Astyanax mexicanus: one gene and its partner. The protein of the gene in region 2 purifies or fractionates together with the protein of the main gene of each other region. This does not show direct contact. Links are inferred from orthologs where the notes say so. Each region holds a gene or a part of one and is shown on either strand. Other genes may lie near its edges. The genes, in order: tbl2 and eif2ak3.

Region 1 (8,171 bases), on a different chromosome or scaffold from region 2:
ATTCTACAGGGTGAGTCAAAATCGCAGGAAACCCTTTTATTTCAGAAATAAATTATGGTAGCATTCAAAATGGTGACCATATTTTGGACTGAAAGTTAGGCCCCCTCACTCATAACTTCATGCGGTATTTAGATTTGTCTGTTTCCCTTTCGTTTTTTTCTGAAATAAAAGCGTGTCCTGTGACTTTTGACTCAACCTGTATAAACCAATTAATTTTAAGTCTCTGAAGATGCAGCCCATCTGCGTGATGACCTGATCAAAAGTACACAGTATTACAAACACAGGAACCTTGGTTTCGGACCTAAATGTTTGAAAACACCCCTAAACTGCTGCTATATTAAATGTGGCAAAAAAATGAAACCCTTTTGTATAGTAAATTAGAGGATCATGATTATATTTTTTGCTGTATGTGTGTGTTTCCGTCCACAGTGGGAAAGACATGGTCATGCACAGTGTGTGATAAGAAGTATGTGACAGAGTACATGTTGCAGAAACACGTTCAGCTCACACATGACAAGGTGGAGGCACAGGACTGCCATCTGTGTGGAACTAAAGTCTCCACACGTGCATCGATGAATCGTCACCTTCGCAGGAAACACCCTGAGGTACACACTCACAGACATGCACACACACACACACACACACACAGTTTCACTCTTTGCACATTACAACAATTGTTTTGGTACAGAGGACACTCTGGGGCAGCCATGAGCCCCAATGAGCACCCAATGCCAATCATGATGTAGGATGGTGTCTTTCTCTGGGGATAGTTCAAGCTTTTACTTTGGTAATGGGGATCTGCATCTAGTTAATAACAGCTGTCCACATACTGTTCAAATAGTGTAAATATATGCAGTCATGACTGAACTACTGCAGTGCGTTTTGTAGTAGTTTTTGCGTGTGAAGTGAGTCTACATATCTGCTGTGTGTTCTTTCTGAGAGCAGGTGGTGCAAGTGAGAGTGGAGGGCTTTGAAGATCTTCAGGATTCTGCAACTATTGGTGCCTCCTCCATCAGCATAGTACAGGTGTCTTTTATGAAACTGTCTTTAAAGTAATAATTCAGCTGAAACCTCTTTTATGTCTAAACTGTTTCTTTTACATTGAAGCTACAGTAGCAGTAATGTAACTAGCCACTGCATTCCTAAATCATATGGAAGTGTTCAGTAATTCCTAATATACTTGCTTATGTGGTTTCTCTCTCTCTTTCCCTCTGTCTGTGTGTATGTTTCAGCCATCTGTGCCACTGGAGAAAACCCCCCTCTCTACAGAGAATTCTCTCCAGAGCTCCAGTCCCGATAAGAAACAGCAGAAGCATCAGCTGGAGGAGCCGGAGCTGTCAGACTCAGATGAGTATGCAGAATTCACCAACAAAACCACCTTCACAAGCGCTGTGGGAGACGAGACTAACTCTGCTGTACAGAGCATTCAGCAGGTTCGGATTATTAAAATACCTACCTTATGCTTCCACTCTCTGGTCACCTTATTACAACCTGTGTTTTGAACAAATAAGACACACTGGAAGACACTCCCATCATGTGCTTCCACTCACTGGCCACTTCATAAGAAACACTTCCTTTTGTACTTCCACTCTCTGGCCATGCCTACTATGTTCATCCACTATCTGGCCACTATCTCATAAGCACCCACCTTATGTTTCTAATCACTGGCCAATTTATAATAAACACCTACCTAGTGGTACCACCTTTTGGTTCTATTCCGTCAACTTTTTTAGAAACTCTTACAACCTGAGTGTACAGTCTCTATTTGAGCACCAGCAAGTTACAAGGGAGTGGGTTCTGATAAAGTGGCAGGGATGTGTGTATAAAAAATTATGACTGACATGTGTTTAATCATTCTCTCCACCCTCTCACCATACCCAGGTGGTTGTATTGGCGGACCCCAACACCACTGCTGCAGAATCTCCCTCTAGTTCTGTGAGTCTGACCAACATCACGGTGACTCCAATAAACACGCCCGCCCCGACACAGTTCACCAACCTGCAGCCTGTTGCCATGGGACACCTGACGCCTAACGACCGGCCTTTGAGTCTGGACAACTCCATCCTGACTGTGACTTTTGATACAGTGAGTGGTTCCACCATGCTACACAACCGTCCGGAAGAGCTGCAGAGCGAGGGAGGGGCGGGGCCTGCTGCTCCTCAATCTGTCGCTCACTTTATCAACCTCACCACCTTTGTCAACCCCATAACCCACCCCATGGAGCAGACGGCATTAGCCTGGAGGCCTGTTACTCCTGCTGATGGGACCCACGTCACAGCAGCAATAGATGGATCCCAACCGGACCCTCAGGACCCCCAGGACCCCCAACTTCAGGGGGCCACTTCGCAGCAGCTGCCCCAGCAAGCACATCCCCCAATGGAGCAAAGTCATCAGATCCAGCCTGAGACTTCAGAACCTACGCAGGATTCCTCTACAGCGCCACAGATGTTTAGCTACTGAAAGTTAAAAGTAAACAATTAAAGGGGAACTCCACACAGTTTTCCTAATTCCTGTGTAAATTTGTGTGTAAACTGAAGACATTCAAAGTGAGTGGGGACAGTCAGAGAGTGGGGTGCGGTGTAAAATTGTGGTTCATTTTAGAGAAAATTTTCAACAGTGTTAGTGAATCAAATCAAATGACTAAAACACAAATAGTCCCATTTCATTTACTTTCCAAACCCACTAGTAAACCTACATAAGTCTTTTCAGTTTTATAGGGGATGGCGATAAATAGTTGAAAATTTGATGCATACACAATTTCCTTGTGGACTACTTTTTGCTGAACAGCTAAATGTATCCCTCCACATTTTAATGATATGTGATTTTTAAAATAACCTTCTGAGGCTTCAGGCAGCATGTTCATAATTCTTACTGTGAATTGAGTGTTTCAAACCAAACCCGCTCTGAATTTTTACACCCGGGAGCTTTGACAAATTGGTGGAGCTCCCCTTTTGCACTTGGCAGTTTAAAGCAATCCTGGTCTATCTCTACTCTGCATTAGCTAAGATTTTTTTCTGCTCTAACACACTTAACCATTCCCCTCTTCAGGTTTTTCTATACTGCCTGGGGAGGGCCTGGAAAGGAAGGGCTTAAAAAAGAGCAGGTAAATGCTGATTGCAGAAGCAGAGTTTGGAAACCACATACAGATGTGTGCTTTTTACAGTGCATTTTAAGTTGTTTAAAAAGAATAATGCCACCAGTCACATTTATTAGTTTAATATGAACGCAAACCAAAGCTGTATGTATATTATTTTGAATGGCTTGTTGCGTTTGTATTGCAGTCTTTTGCAAGAGACCGTTCTAAACTGGAAACATAAGTTCTTCCTCAAGTTCAGAGAAGCTGTTTGTAAGAAACAAGTATATTAAGATAAGAAACAAAGAAAGAAAGATAAATGTGAAGCTGTCTTACCTGCTCACCTGACTATGGATCTTTTTTAATGAACTTTTTGTTATTTTCACACCAGGTAGCTTTAAATAAACTAAATCTATAATCACTGTTGTAGTGGATTTAATCTATTCCAGTATTCATCAGTAAGACTTTGTTTTCATCTGTGGCTGATCAGTAAAATGGACTTTTGGCGTAGTAAAACATAATAAAAAGTACATACCTTTGGTAAATAGCACACCTCTTTTCTCCCACAGCGTACCAAGATTCAGAAATTTTAACAGTTTGTCCAAACACCCTTCAGACTGGGTGACATGGGGCATAATTTGCCCTGATAAATCGCTTTTTTATTATTCTTCTTTATTACGCTTTTTTTTGGTATTCAGGCTCAAAGTAGCTCCACACCTCTTTGCTAGAATCTGGATAGCCCTGACAGTTAAAACAAGGCATTAATAACTTTAAAAAATTGCACAAAAAAACTGTTTACATCCCATAAAACTAGCTTTACCTCTGTGCGCTGCCATTACTGTACTGATAATCACACACACACATATATATATACATATACAAATTATGCCCCGTGTCACCCAGTCTAAAGGATGTTTGGACAAACTACTATTTAATATTCCTGGATCTGGTGCTTTTCATCAAAGGTAAGTACTTTTATCATGTTTTACTACACCAAAAGTCCATTTTACTCAGGAGTTCTCCTTTAAGCATCCTAATTGACACCAATACAGCCATAGCATTTTACACATCTACCCAATATTATTATATATTTTTTTCTGTCTCTGAAAACTAATTCTTAAGCAGATACATTGTTTTATTTTTATTGTTTTTGTATTTTATTACACCTGTAGCTTATCACAGTTTAAAAAGAAAATATACTTTATTTTTGCCTGAGTGAATAACTAAATTGAAAAATAATCTCCCATACCCCAGTGTACAGTAGCGATGTACAGTAATTTACTGATAGAATGGCAGAGATTGTTTGTAGAGTTTGTAGGCTCTCATTTGGGAAACAGTGAAAGATTGTTTTTAAACTGGGCTGGAGTGAACAGTCCAGTATGGAAGCCCATTTCCGCCACCTGAAGAAAAAAAAACTTCCTAAACTAAGTCATAATTATGAGATAGAAAAGTCATAATTATGGGATAGTAAGTCATAATTTTGAGATAGTAAGTCATAATTATGAGATAAAAAAGTCATAATTATGAGATAGTAAGTCATATTTATGAGATAAAAAGTCATCTCATAATTATGACTTCGTATCTCATAATTATGACTTACTATCCCATAATTATGACTTTTCTATCTCATAATTATGACTTAGTTTAGGAAGTTTTTTTTTCTTCAGGTGGCGGAAATGGGCTTCCAGAGTCGTCCTTTGCTTCCCGTATTGAAACCCCTCCTCTCTCCGCTCCACGGACACATTCAGACTCCATAAGCGTCCCTTATTTTTAATTCTGAAAGTTGTCAACCCTAGTGGCGAATAAAAAGAACTTAAGCTTCGTTAGATATTGTGTGTAAAAGGTACATTACAGAATCAAAAATGTGGAAGGCTGACTTTTGAAACAGATTGAATGAATAAATTAATGAATGAACAGGGCGAGCACAGCTCACCTCCTCCAGGCCGCCAGAGGGCGGGAGGGATCAGTATTTTCCTGAAAGCTGAGGAAACCCCTGAAGAAAACTCTGACAAGTCAGCACGGTCCACGACTGCAGCGCGAATAGTTATTAATACAGATAAATATAGATCAATTTCTTTATACACGCGCCCGATATTAATACGCTTAGTCAGCACGCGCACAGAGGCGGAGAGAGAGAGGGAGAGAGAGATACAGTAGTTTGTGTATGTACATATGCATGTGTTTTGTGTGAGTGTGTGTATGTCTGTGAGATTGTATTTGTGTGTATGTGATGGAGTTCTCAGCTGTGCTCGTGCTCTCCCTGTTTCTCGGGGCTCTTCTCGTGCTGATCTTTGCTGCAGTTGCGAAGAGAAACGGAACACCTGAGCAACCTGAGCCAGAGCAGGTAAAACCCACAGGTGAGTTTCCTTATATTACAGATAACTCTGATCACCTTTTAAATGAAAACATTTAGCTACTTTAAGATGCACCCATTGCTGCTAAACTGCATGTGTGTAAAAGCAGACACAGGCTGTGTAGTCATGGCTAAATGAGAGGTGCTGCTAATAGAACAGTAGAAAAGGACTCGGTCATGGACTGGATGCACTGAGCTGTAAAATGACTGTGCTCAGTTCAGGACTTTTAGGATGAGGTGGGGAGATTCATCATTTAATATCCTGCCCTCACAAATGCCTTTGCTGTTCAGTGCAGTCAGATCCTCACAGCAATGCTCTATAATCGTTTAGAAAGCATTTTCTGGACAGGAAAGACAATTACTCCAACAATAGCAGGTTAAACTCTCTACTAAAATAGATTTCAGATTAAGCCATTAATGAAGAGGTGTCCCAATACTTTTGTTCACATCATGTACATTATACGTGTGATTTAGTGTTGGGGTGCTGAAGGTGGTCTTCACCAACTTCTCAAAGTTTTTGGTGTTTTAGATGAACACATTCAGAGTGGGGTTTGGTGTGAATTAAAGGTTCAGATGTCTAATACCGTTTATTACTAGTGTTAACAGTTGTGTGACTGGGTGTGTTTCACTCTAAACCTACTCTAAAAAGACATTTTTTCATATACACCTGATGTTTGGGTGATGTGTGTACAAAGTTTATAATAATTTGTTTGTGAAGTAAATGTTAGGTCAAAAAATAGTACTTAAGTTAAGGTACAAAACTATTTGGGAATTTGTGTTTCAATGAATAAAGATCCTATTTGTGCACTTTTACTGGAGTAGAAATTGTAGACAGAATATAACTTGAGTAAAAGTACTATAGAAATTATGATTGTTTTTTATTAAAGGGATTTGTGTGAATGCAAACAAAGTTTAATTGAGTTTGTTTATCAGAATAATATGAAAATAAAATGATGATTAATTATGATCTGTTTTTGATACTCAAGTGCATTATTAGTGTAATCAAATATTCATCTCACTCTGCTGCTTGCTGATATGGCACAAACACAAACAAACAGACACTCTGCTGCTATTTAATGTTACAGCTGAAGAGAGTTCAGCGAAAGCCTCTTCTAAGAAGCAGAAACAGCAGCAGCGACCACGGAAAGAAAAACCCCAGCAGCACATTTTCACCCACACTCTTCTGGCATCTTCTCTAAAGGTATGCCTCCTTTTCTGGCCGCCAGACCTACAGTCTCACCTGTCAGGCCAGTGCCTGTAATGCTACTGACTCTGTTAAATACTTTTTAAAGCACAAGCTATTCTAGGCTGCAGCCTTGGGGCCTATTCAATGATTAGGGCCCACTGATTGGCCACATTTTATTTTATTTTATTTGTTTATTTTTCATGACATTTGAACCCCCTTTGGTCCATTTTAATGATAAACACTTGACACGACACGGGAGTTCAGAATTGTTTGATTTGTGATTGTTCCTAAAAGGAATACTTTTAGGCAAACAATGTTGCACCTGTAATTTACTTAAAAAGTGTGGGAAAAAGTGCATTATTGGCACTCAAAAAACAAAAGCAAGTCAGCTAAGGCAGACCTGCCAAAATGTGCGCATTTTGTGTAACGGCCATGTATTTTGACCTCCTAATCTGCTTGTACGGTCCCATGTTCTAAACTACACATCATTTCATCTCACATTTTGCCACTTTCAGTCAAGTCAACTTGATTCCGCCACTGCTTCGTAAGCAAAGTGCTTTTGGCTGGTCAGGGTGCTTAATTTTCACCCAACCATTTTCAGGTTGTTGAAGGTAGAATATGGAGCTACATTAGCATTTACTTTTAACTCAGTTTAACTCAGTATCTCAGCACATTAAAATATTTTAATTTAAAAAAATCATCAAAACTACCCTGAGATTTTATAGTACAGTAAAAAAGGATCTGCCTAAAAATAAATCATGATTTAATTATGATTAATCACAGAATGTTGTTGTGATTTAATATAATTACAGCAATAATATTAATATGATTAATTTTGTAAGTGTGTATAGAAATGTTTAGGATGGAATGCCCATTTAAAGTGCAGCCTAGGGGCCAACATGTCGTGTTAATGTGTTAATCATGACTATAGTCAAACAGTTTAAACAATTTAAAAAAGTAAAAAATTACAACATTGTTTTTAGAAACACATACTTTCATTAACGCGCCACTTTTATAAGTGCCTGCCCTGTATTTTTTTCTCTTTCAAAAATTATTTTTTTCTTCTCATCTCCTTATCTCAGAACCACAGTGGGAATATAACATGCCTAGATTTCAGCAGCAATGGTAAATATCTGGCCTCCTGCTCAGACGACCGTAGCATCCGGATCTGGAGCACCAAGGACTTCCTGGACCGTGACCATAAATGTCTGCGAGCGAATGTAGAGTTTGACCATGCTACACTCGTCCGCTTCAGCCCAGATTCCCGGTAAGTGCTGACCTCAGAGTTGAAGGTGTTGAACTCACTTTCAGCCTAGCAGTAACACTGGTGTGTGTACCACTGAACATTTATAGTAGGTGTTTCTAATAAAATGGCCAGCAAGTATAAATAATAATCAGGCAGCTCTGTGATACTGCACTGGGTTTTTTAGAGCTTTCATCACATGGCTGGCCAACGCAGAGACCATTCGGATCTTCAAGATGACTAAGAAGGAGGACGGCACGTTCAGTTTTAAAGCTGCTCCAGAGGACTTTCCCCAGAGGCACAAAGGAGTGATCAT
Region 2 (7,118 bases):
AAAACAACAAACAGATCTAGATACAACAACTTCTCTTATTTACTCCAGAAGCTCCAATAGGTCTGTCATTAGAGAGAGAGAGAGTCCACTGCTGCAATAACAGGACTGTATGCGTACCCATCCTCTGTTTTTTTGGATTCAGATTTGGGGTGGGGTCTCTGCACATTTGCCTCAGATGTGGCTTTAATCACACAGCATTAAACACGGGAAAAAAAGTTCCCATTCTAAACCAGGTGAAAAAGCAGCACTTCTAACAGCTCTTTATCTGACTGAACGCTGAAGAGGCTGAATTATGCCTTACAACTTACCTAATATATAGATAATATACACAATTATCTAGGTAAGTTAATAAACGAAATAATAATCATTAATTTGACGTAGACACAGAGCTGAAGCTCGCTGAGGGCACGGAGCTCAAACTCAAACTGTTGCTCGACTGGGTTTTTTAGTTATAGGGAGAGGTTTCAGCAGCTCCAGCGCGCTGCTTCAGTCAAGAGCCGACTGACTACAGGTGAACAAACACTGAAAAACTGTTTTCTCTAAAGCTGCCTAACAAAGTTACTAACTACTAACAACACCTAACTGACATGAACAGAGCATTATAGCTCAAATACAATTTACAATACAGCAATTACTTTATATTAAATGATATCTTCCAAAACATTTCTGCCAGTTTGACTTGGGGGGGCGTTTCCTCCCCTCCGTTAAAACCTCCATACTGCCTCTCTCTGTCCGTGTCAACCTGTGAAGATCGGTCATAAAAAAACCAGCTCTAACTCTAACAAAATACTAACTATTCAGATTTGCCAAATTAGCCTCACTATGGGCTGCATAACATATCAATCTAACGTTCCCCTCCTTATGAAGAAATACATGGAAAAGTAAATGCTCTCTATAGCAAACAAGAAAACAAACGCACTTTTGAATGAACGTCCTTTATTCTATACTTGTTTTATTTTAACCCATGTATTTGAAAATGCATCTTTTTTTACATATTCTTTCATTCATTCATTTCCTGTATTTCACATGCGTTTGCGGCGTTTGTGTTTCCACATGGTTTGGCGTGTGTTTACAAAATATACAAAAATATCTCTTCATATAAAGTGTGACGCTGTGTTAGACTGGAAAAGCTATTTGTATTACAAAATGTAAAGCGAGTCATTGTAGCTAACTAGTTATCTACAGATTTTAAACCTCTCATATTAAAGAAGAGGGGGAAATTGTTCAGCATTGACTAATACACGAATGACATTGAGGGTGTTGGAAAACTTGACCATAGATAAGGGATATGCGGGGCGTTCACAGCCAGCCTCTTCAATGTTTACAGTTAATCTAGCTAAGTTAACTTAACTAGCTGGCTACAGCTCATAACTAAATGATTGCCTAACTCTTTAGCAAACTAGTTAGCTGAACTAGCCCATGTTAGGTTAATTAAACTTAACGGGAGCAACAGCATGGTATCTCAATACTGGACAGATTTAGACCAGTGGCTTGTTAACTAACCTAGCTGAGGTTTTTGAAAGGGGCAATCTGGTAAGGTTAGCTAGTTAACCTAGCTAACTAACTGTCACTGTGGACAACAACAACACCACAGACGAAATGAAACAAGCTGCTAAAACGAGTCTGTTAACATTAGCTAACTACTTAGCTTAGCACCTTCATCATTTTAATCTAAATAACTATTACTTAGCCAACCTATACTCTGAATTTGGCCAGTAACTGGTTAGTTAGCTACAGTTAGCTAGCTAAGTAAACTAATTGACCTAGCTAGCTTTTGCCTTGGATATGCTACATTATCTGGCTGGTTTAGCAAGACAGCATAGCTAACGCTAGCTTAACAAGTAAAATCCTCTTAAATGTAGTGTAAATATTAACGTTAATTATTCCTCATTTAAAGTAACATTACAGGAATTACTAACTTATTTCGAACGTCCTTGTAACTTTTACTTGTTATAGATTATTTAAAACTACCAAAAGCGCCATAGCTAATTGCTAAGCAAATTCAGGACAATTTTAGCTAGTTTGTGTCAAGAAATAATGCTTAAAACGAGCAACAAAAATATCTGCCAATGGAATAAGAAACTGTACGTTAGGTCAGCTCGCTCGGTTGGTTATCCTAGGTGAGCTAACGCTAACCTAACTAACTTCAGGAAGTTTCGCTAGGTGTTAACCACACTGACTGACAGTGTCAACTACCTTCAAACAAAAACCCCAGGGTCTGTTAATTAACTCTACTTCACAGGGAGAAACAAGGTAATTCAGCGCTGTCTACCTTCTGTTGTGAGGGAAGTTTGAGTCGCTCTCTCCAGACGTTTCCTCTCCCTCTCCTCCAGTCGCCCCGTTCTCGTCCTCCACTGTCACGTCCCCCGTTCCTCCCGGAGCCCCTGAGCTCTCCAGCCGCTCCATAACGGCTCCATCTCCTGCTGCCGGGGCCTCCAGCTTTCTCCCGGAGAGGGAGTTGGTTTGTAAAGTCCCGGTTACCCCTCTCAAGATCAACAACAGCACAAGGGATATGCCCGCGATTCCAAACCGAAGCCCCCTTTCCATTGGGACAAGTGGCACATTAGCTAGTATGTTAGATAGGCAATCCCATCCATACGAAAAACAAAATGCAAAGCTAGTTTTTTAAAACAGCTTCCCTGAAAAAAAAAAGCTCTGAAACGATTTATACTAATAAAGGACGCAATTAACAAGCTTCCCTGCGACTTTCAGATCTCTTTTCTTAGCGTAAACACGAGTCTCTGTAGCACCATGTTATTGGCTTTATAGCGCCCTCAGTCTTGCCGTGGTAACGTTCAGCCCGCCCCGTATCCAAACACGCATTGGCCGCGGAGGAACACACGAGTCCAGCGCGTCCTGTCCACAGCGCTCTGATAGCAGCGCTCGCACATCACTCCGCGCAGCTCGTCTACTAAGCAGAAGGGGATTGGGCGGGGGAACTGTCAGTCAGATGCGGAGCTCCGCCCCCCAAACAGAGAGCGCTATTGGCTGCTGGCCCGTCAGTCACACCCCAAAAGGCGGGGTTTAAGCAGAAAGAGGGGAGAATCAGAGCAAGTAGAGGAGCGTGGCGTGTCCGAACCCTCCAAACACATTACAGCAGAGAGAGGACCAACGACACGACCAACGAAACGACACCCCGGCCTCACAGCGCGCGCCCTGATTGGTCCGCTGCTCCACGAGCCCGTCTGTCAAAATAGTTCCCCAGCTTTTTAAATGGGCGGATCCGCCGCTGACGAGCTGATCAGCGGGAGGATCTCGTGAGTCTCTGAACAACAGCGAGATGGAAAGCGCGACGTGGCCGCTTAATCGCGGGCAAAAGCAGCTTCACGCTTCCTTTTCCGGAGAAAGTTCAGCAGCACTGTGCGTAGAAAACAAGCGCCACTGTTTAAAGCGCACTCACACACACCTGAAGAGTTCTGAACTTTTAAATCACGGAAACGGGTCTGTAAATGTGGTTGGATTACATTAAAGAGCCTGTTTAACTCGCACGATGCGATAAAAACAGTTATAAATATAGTTCCTTCCATTCATAACATACATAAATACAATATAAAAAATATAATAAAATCGTAAAATAGTGCGTGAAGCAGCAAATAGTGATTTAAAACAGTACTAATCATAATCACTAAACATAACTTTTTCACATTTTTACTTTTCACTTTTATCCATTATATGTCACATGTGGTCATTAAAAAAGAGAGGCATTTATTTAACACAAAATTAAATGTATAATGAATATCAGATATACAGTAAATCCAAAGTGTAAAACGTTTAATTCGCTAGGACCGTCCTGGGCATGTCTGGGCATGATTATAAGTTAAGGGCAGCGTTTTCTGCTGCCATCTTGCGGCCTTTTAAGAAAATGACACATTTACGATAATATGAACAGAAACTATAATACATATATTATACATATAATACTCATATCATATTTTGTTTGCATTTAAGGCATTTAGCAGATGCTGAATTATATATTATATAATGTTACAAGACATGTCTCCATTCAATAAAATTAGGGGGAAAAGTTTAATTCATTTTAAAAGTCAAAGCCACATGGATTTCAATATCACCAATTGGTGAATTGTTGAATAGTGGTAAATAGTTTATTTTTAAATTTTCTTTAAATATTATATATTGTGCATAAATAAAGAGGAGGAAACGCATATATTGCTAATCAATGTTTTTTTTTTTTTACTTATTAAAGTGTTTATTTATTAGTTGCATCAGAGCAGCAATATACAGTTAGAGCACATTTGTTAAAGGAATAATGCTAATAAAGCAGTGGTATTTGTTATTTACCTACAAACATAAAATTTAAGCCATAGAGGGTTAGGAACATCTTAACATGGAGAAAGTGCTCAGTCTGACGCTTACTCAAATAAATGCTCTAAATGACAATATTTGGAATTTGTCCGTAGTTTATAGAATAAAACAATAATGTTAATTTTACTCAAACATACACCTATATATATATAATAGCAAAATCAGAGAAACTGAAATGTCTCAATCTTTCCCAGAGCTGTATTAAAAAAAAAAAAAAATCAGTATGGATACCTAGATTCATGGCACTTGCATACTACACTTTAACTAAAAGTCAAATAACATCATGAGTACAGCCTTTATATCATAAGTGCAAGATAATTTAAAACAATTTAAGTACTTTTTGGAGGAGAATGCTGTTCAGTTTTGACATCTGAAATCATTTGTCCTACCATCTTAGTGCCAGGACAGAGAATGACTTGGATGCATTTTAAAAGATAGTAGGTTAAGCTGAGCCATACTGAAAGCTCAAAGAGGATCTGGTTTTGACCTTTCAAGTCCATTTTTAGTTTTGTAGGCCAGTTTTGGGGTTTGCTGGTGGCAACAGGGGCAGCTACATAGTTTACCAATAAAGTAATATCAAAAAATGAAAAAGTACCACAAGTCTTGTTTATTTGATTGGTCCTCTTTTAATGCAAGATTGGTCTTTAAAACAATAAAGAATGCCATTCGCTAATCCAAACCGTAATGTCACAGTAGTATTGGTACAGAAACATTGTCAACATAAAGCTGGTGTTGTCATAGGTCACAGTGACTTCATTAGAAAGTCACACAAGACAAACATCTCTTAAGAACATAAAGGAGCGGAAGGTGCCTGAGGTAAGGCCTGATCACTTGGGTTGAGTTAAGCCAGGTTGCTGGAAACCTGTGCTACTGTAAATTCCTGACAACAGTTTGTTGAGATTGATAGGCACATCAAAGAAAAATACGAATTGTACAAATTGAATTGAATCAATTGGCATATACAGTCCATACATAGGCAGACAAGGCTGCTGCTCTGTACTGTATATATTTTTAACAAATCTGTGGCTCTATCTGATCAAAGCTAGCTGTAACATCCAAAATACTGACCCTCTCATTTTACATCAAATATTCATAAGACCCAATACACACCCAATACTACTGCATTACTAGTAGTACTATGTTTTTTCAAGATCACATTTTTCTTCATTTTTTCCCTGAAATCTGAGCTCAAAACACTGATCAATCTGAAATAAACTGTGGTTACATTCATTCAACGCTCCAAAGAGCCAAAACTGCATCTGCTCATTTGATTGTTTTGATATAAACCTTAACATGTTATTATTGAAATGTGAAAGAAATGTAAAACAGTGGCCTAATTGTAAACAGAGGTATTAATCTGACACTTGAGAGACGGACACTTAAATGTAAATAAATCTACTGATTATAGGTACTGGTCCATACCGTTAATGAGGTCTGAATGCAGAGAAAAATAAAAAAGAAATCCATGCACCTTTAAATGTGTAAAAGTGTTTAACTGCAGTGTGTGCGCTAAATTTAGCTAATCTCCCACCACTGTCATGCTTTGGTTCAATATAACAAAAAGTGTTGAAATACAAGGCAACAACCAAGCGAAACAAAGTGAAAGATGCATGAGGCACAGAGATCAAAGTACATCTAGAAATGGCTTCAAATTCAAAGTGTGTAGAGACATGCAGAAATGACAAGAATCAAAAAATTTGAGACAGTAAAGAAAAAACACACAAACAGAAGGCAGACAGTAACAGCCATTTCACCAGGTTAAAGGTTTAAAGGTCTAGTTTCAACTAATAAATGTTTTTAAATGATTTAGTCCTAGACTAGGCTTAATTTTGTGGCTGCCAGAAGGCCAAGCTGTTTAGCAGCTTTAGATTTACCCTAAGTACAGGGTCAGTAACAGAGTGGTTAACAACACTACGAGAAACAAAATAGAGAGGAAAGACGAGGTGTATGACATGGTGAATGCGTACACATCTGCTTTTCATACACTCAAACCTTCATCAGATATTAGGAAATGTTGTGGTTGCATGTCTCTCTCCCAGTAGAAGTAGTAGTTATCTCCAGTAGATGGCACGCATGAGCTGCACGAGTGTGTGTACTCTACTGGCACTGCGGTGTCAGGCTGGTCTTGTCTTTGCAGCAGGCGGGAAAAGGCGTTCTCCTCGTTCCCCTTCAGTTAACAGGAGGATCTCGGATCTTCACACTTCCATCTTCCATCCCAAAGTAAACTCGCTCAGCCATCCCCACAAACAGCCCTGTCTCCACCACACCTAGAGAAGAGAAAGGAAATGGGAAAGAAAATTCTAAAATAAATGGTAATAAAAAGACTTGATCATTCATTTCTTTGCTGGAGGAACTGTTATTCACTGCTGGGGTAGGCTTTCTAATATTTTGGAGCACTGTACTGTGATGATTCGATTGTAATCAGCACAACAAGTGGGTTATTGAGGTCAGAATGCTGTATGATCACCACCCCACCTCATCCCAAAGTACTGGATGGGGAGATCACAGCTCACTGCTGAGGGCTGAGGGCTTTATATACTTCTAGCCCATGCCAGATATTAGGCATGGTGCCAACAGGTCAGTGTTTCAGAGAGTTCTATTATACTGAAAATTAGGGGTGTGACGAGATCTCGTGGCATTTAAAAAAAAAGTTCTGTCTCTGTTTGCACTTCAAGCATAGTCTTAATATGACTAGTTATGGTTATGCATAGTTAAATTACAAGAGATTTAGAAGAAAAAAAAAACAAACCATAGTCTTAATATGACTGGTTGTGGTTTGCACTTATTGTTTGCAC

Evidence for each region.
Region 1: the proteins of eif2ak3 (region 2) and tbl2 purify together in Homo sapiens (affinity purification with western blotting; 3 studies listed by BioGRID). This does not show direct contact. The link is inferred for Astyanax mexicanus from reciprocal best matches to the Homo sapiens genes EIF2AK3 and TBL2.

Annotation. Positions count from the first base shown.
Region 1 is NC_064427.1:11,953,298-11,961,468, reverse strand, and holds the start of tbl2 (transducin beta-like protein 2), read left to right. Parts: upstream 1-5,042; 5' UTR 5,043-5,303; coding exon 5,304-5,430; intron 5,431-6,511; coding exon 6,512-6,627; intron 6,628-7,694; coding exon 7,695-7,879; intron 7,880-8,042; coding exon 8,043-8,171. Other genes in the region: prdm15 (PR domain zinc finger protein 15), read left to right, coding at 1-10, 430-605, 946-1,026, 1,233-1,433, 1,882-2,460.
Region 2 is NC_064414.1:26,634,896-26,642,013, reverse strand, and holds the start of eif2ak3 (eukaryotic translation initiation factor 2-alpha kinase 3), read right to left. Parts: upstream 3,237-7,118; 5' UTR 2,548-3,236; coding exon 2,273-2,547; intron 1-2,272. Other genes in the region: rpia (ribose-5-phosphate isomerase), read right to left, coding at 6,493-6,590. UniProt on the Homo sapiens protein: Metabolic-stress sensing protein kinase that phosphorylates the alpha subunit of eukaryotic translation initiation factor 2 (EIF2S1/eIF-2-alpha) in response to various stress, such as unfolded protein response (UPR).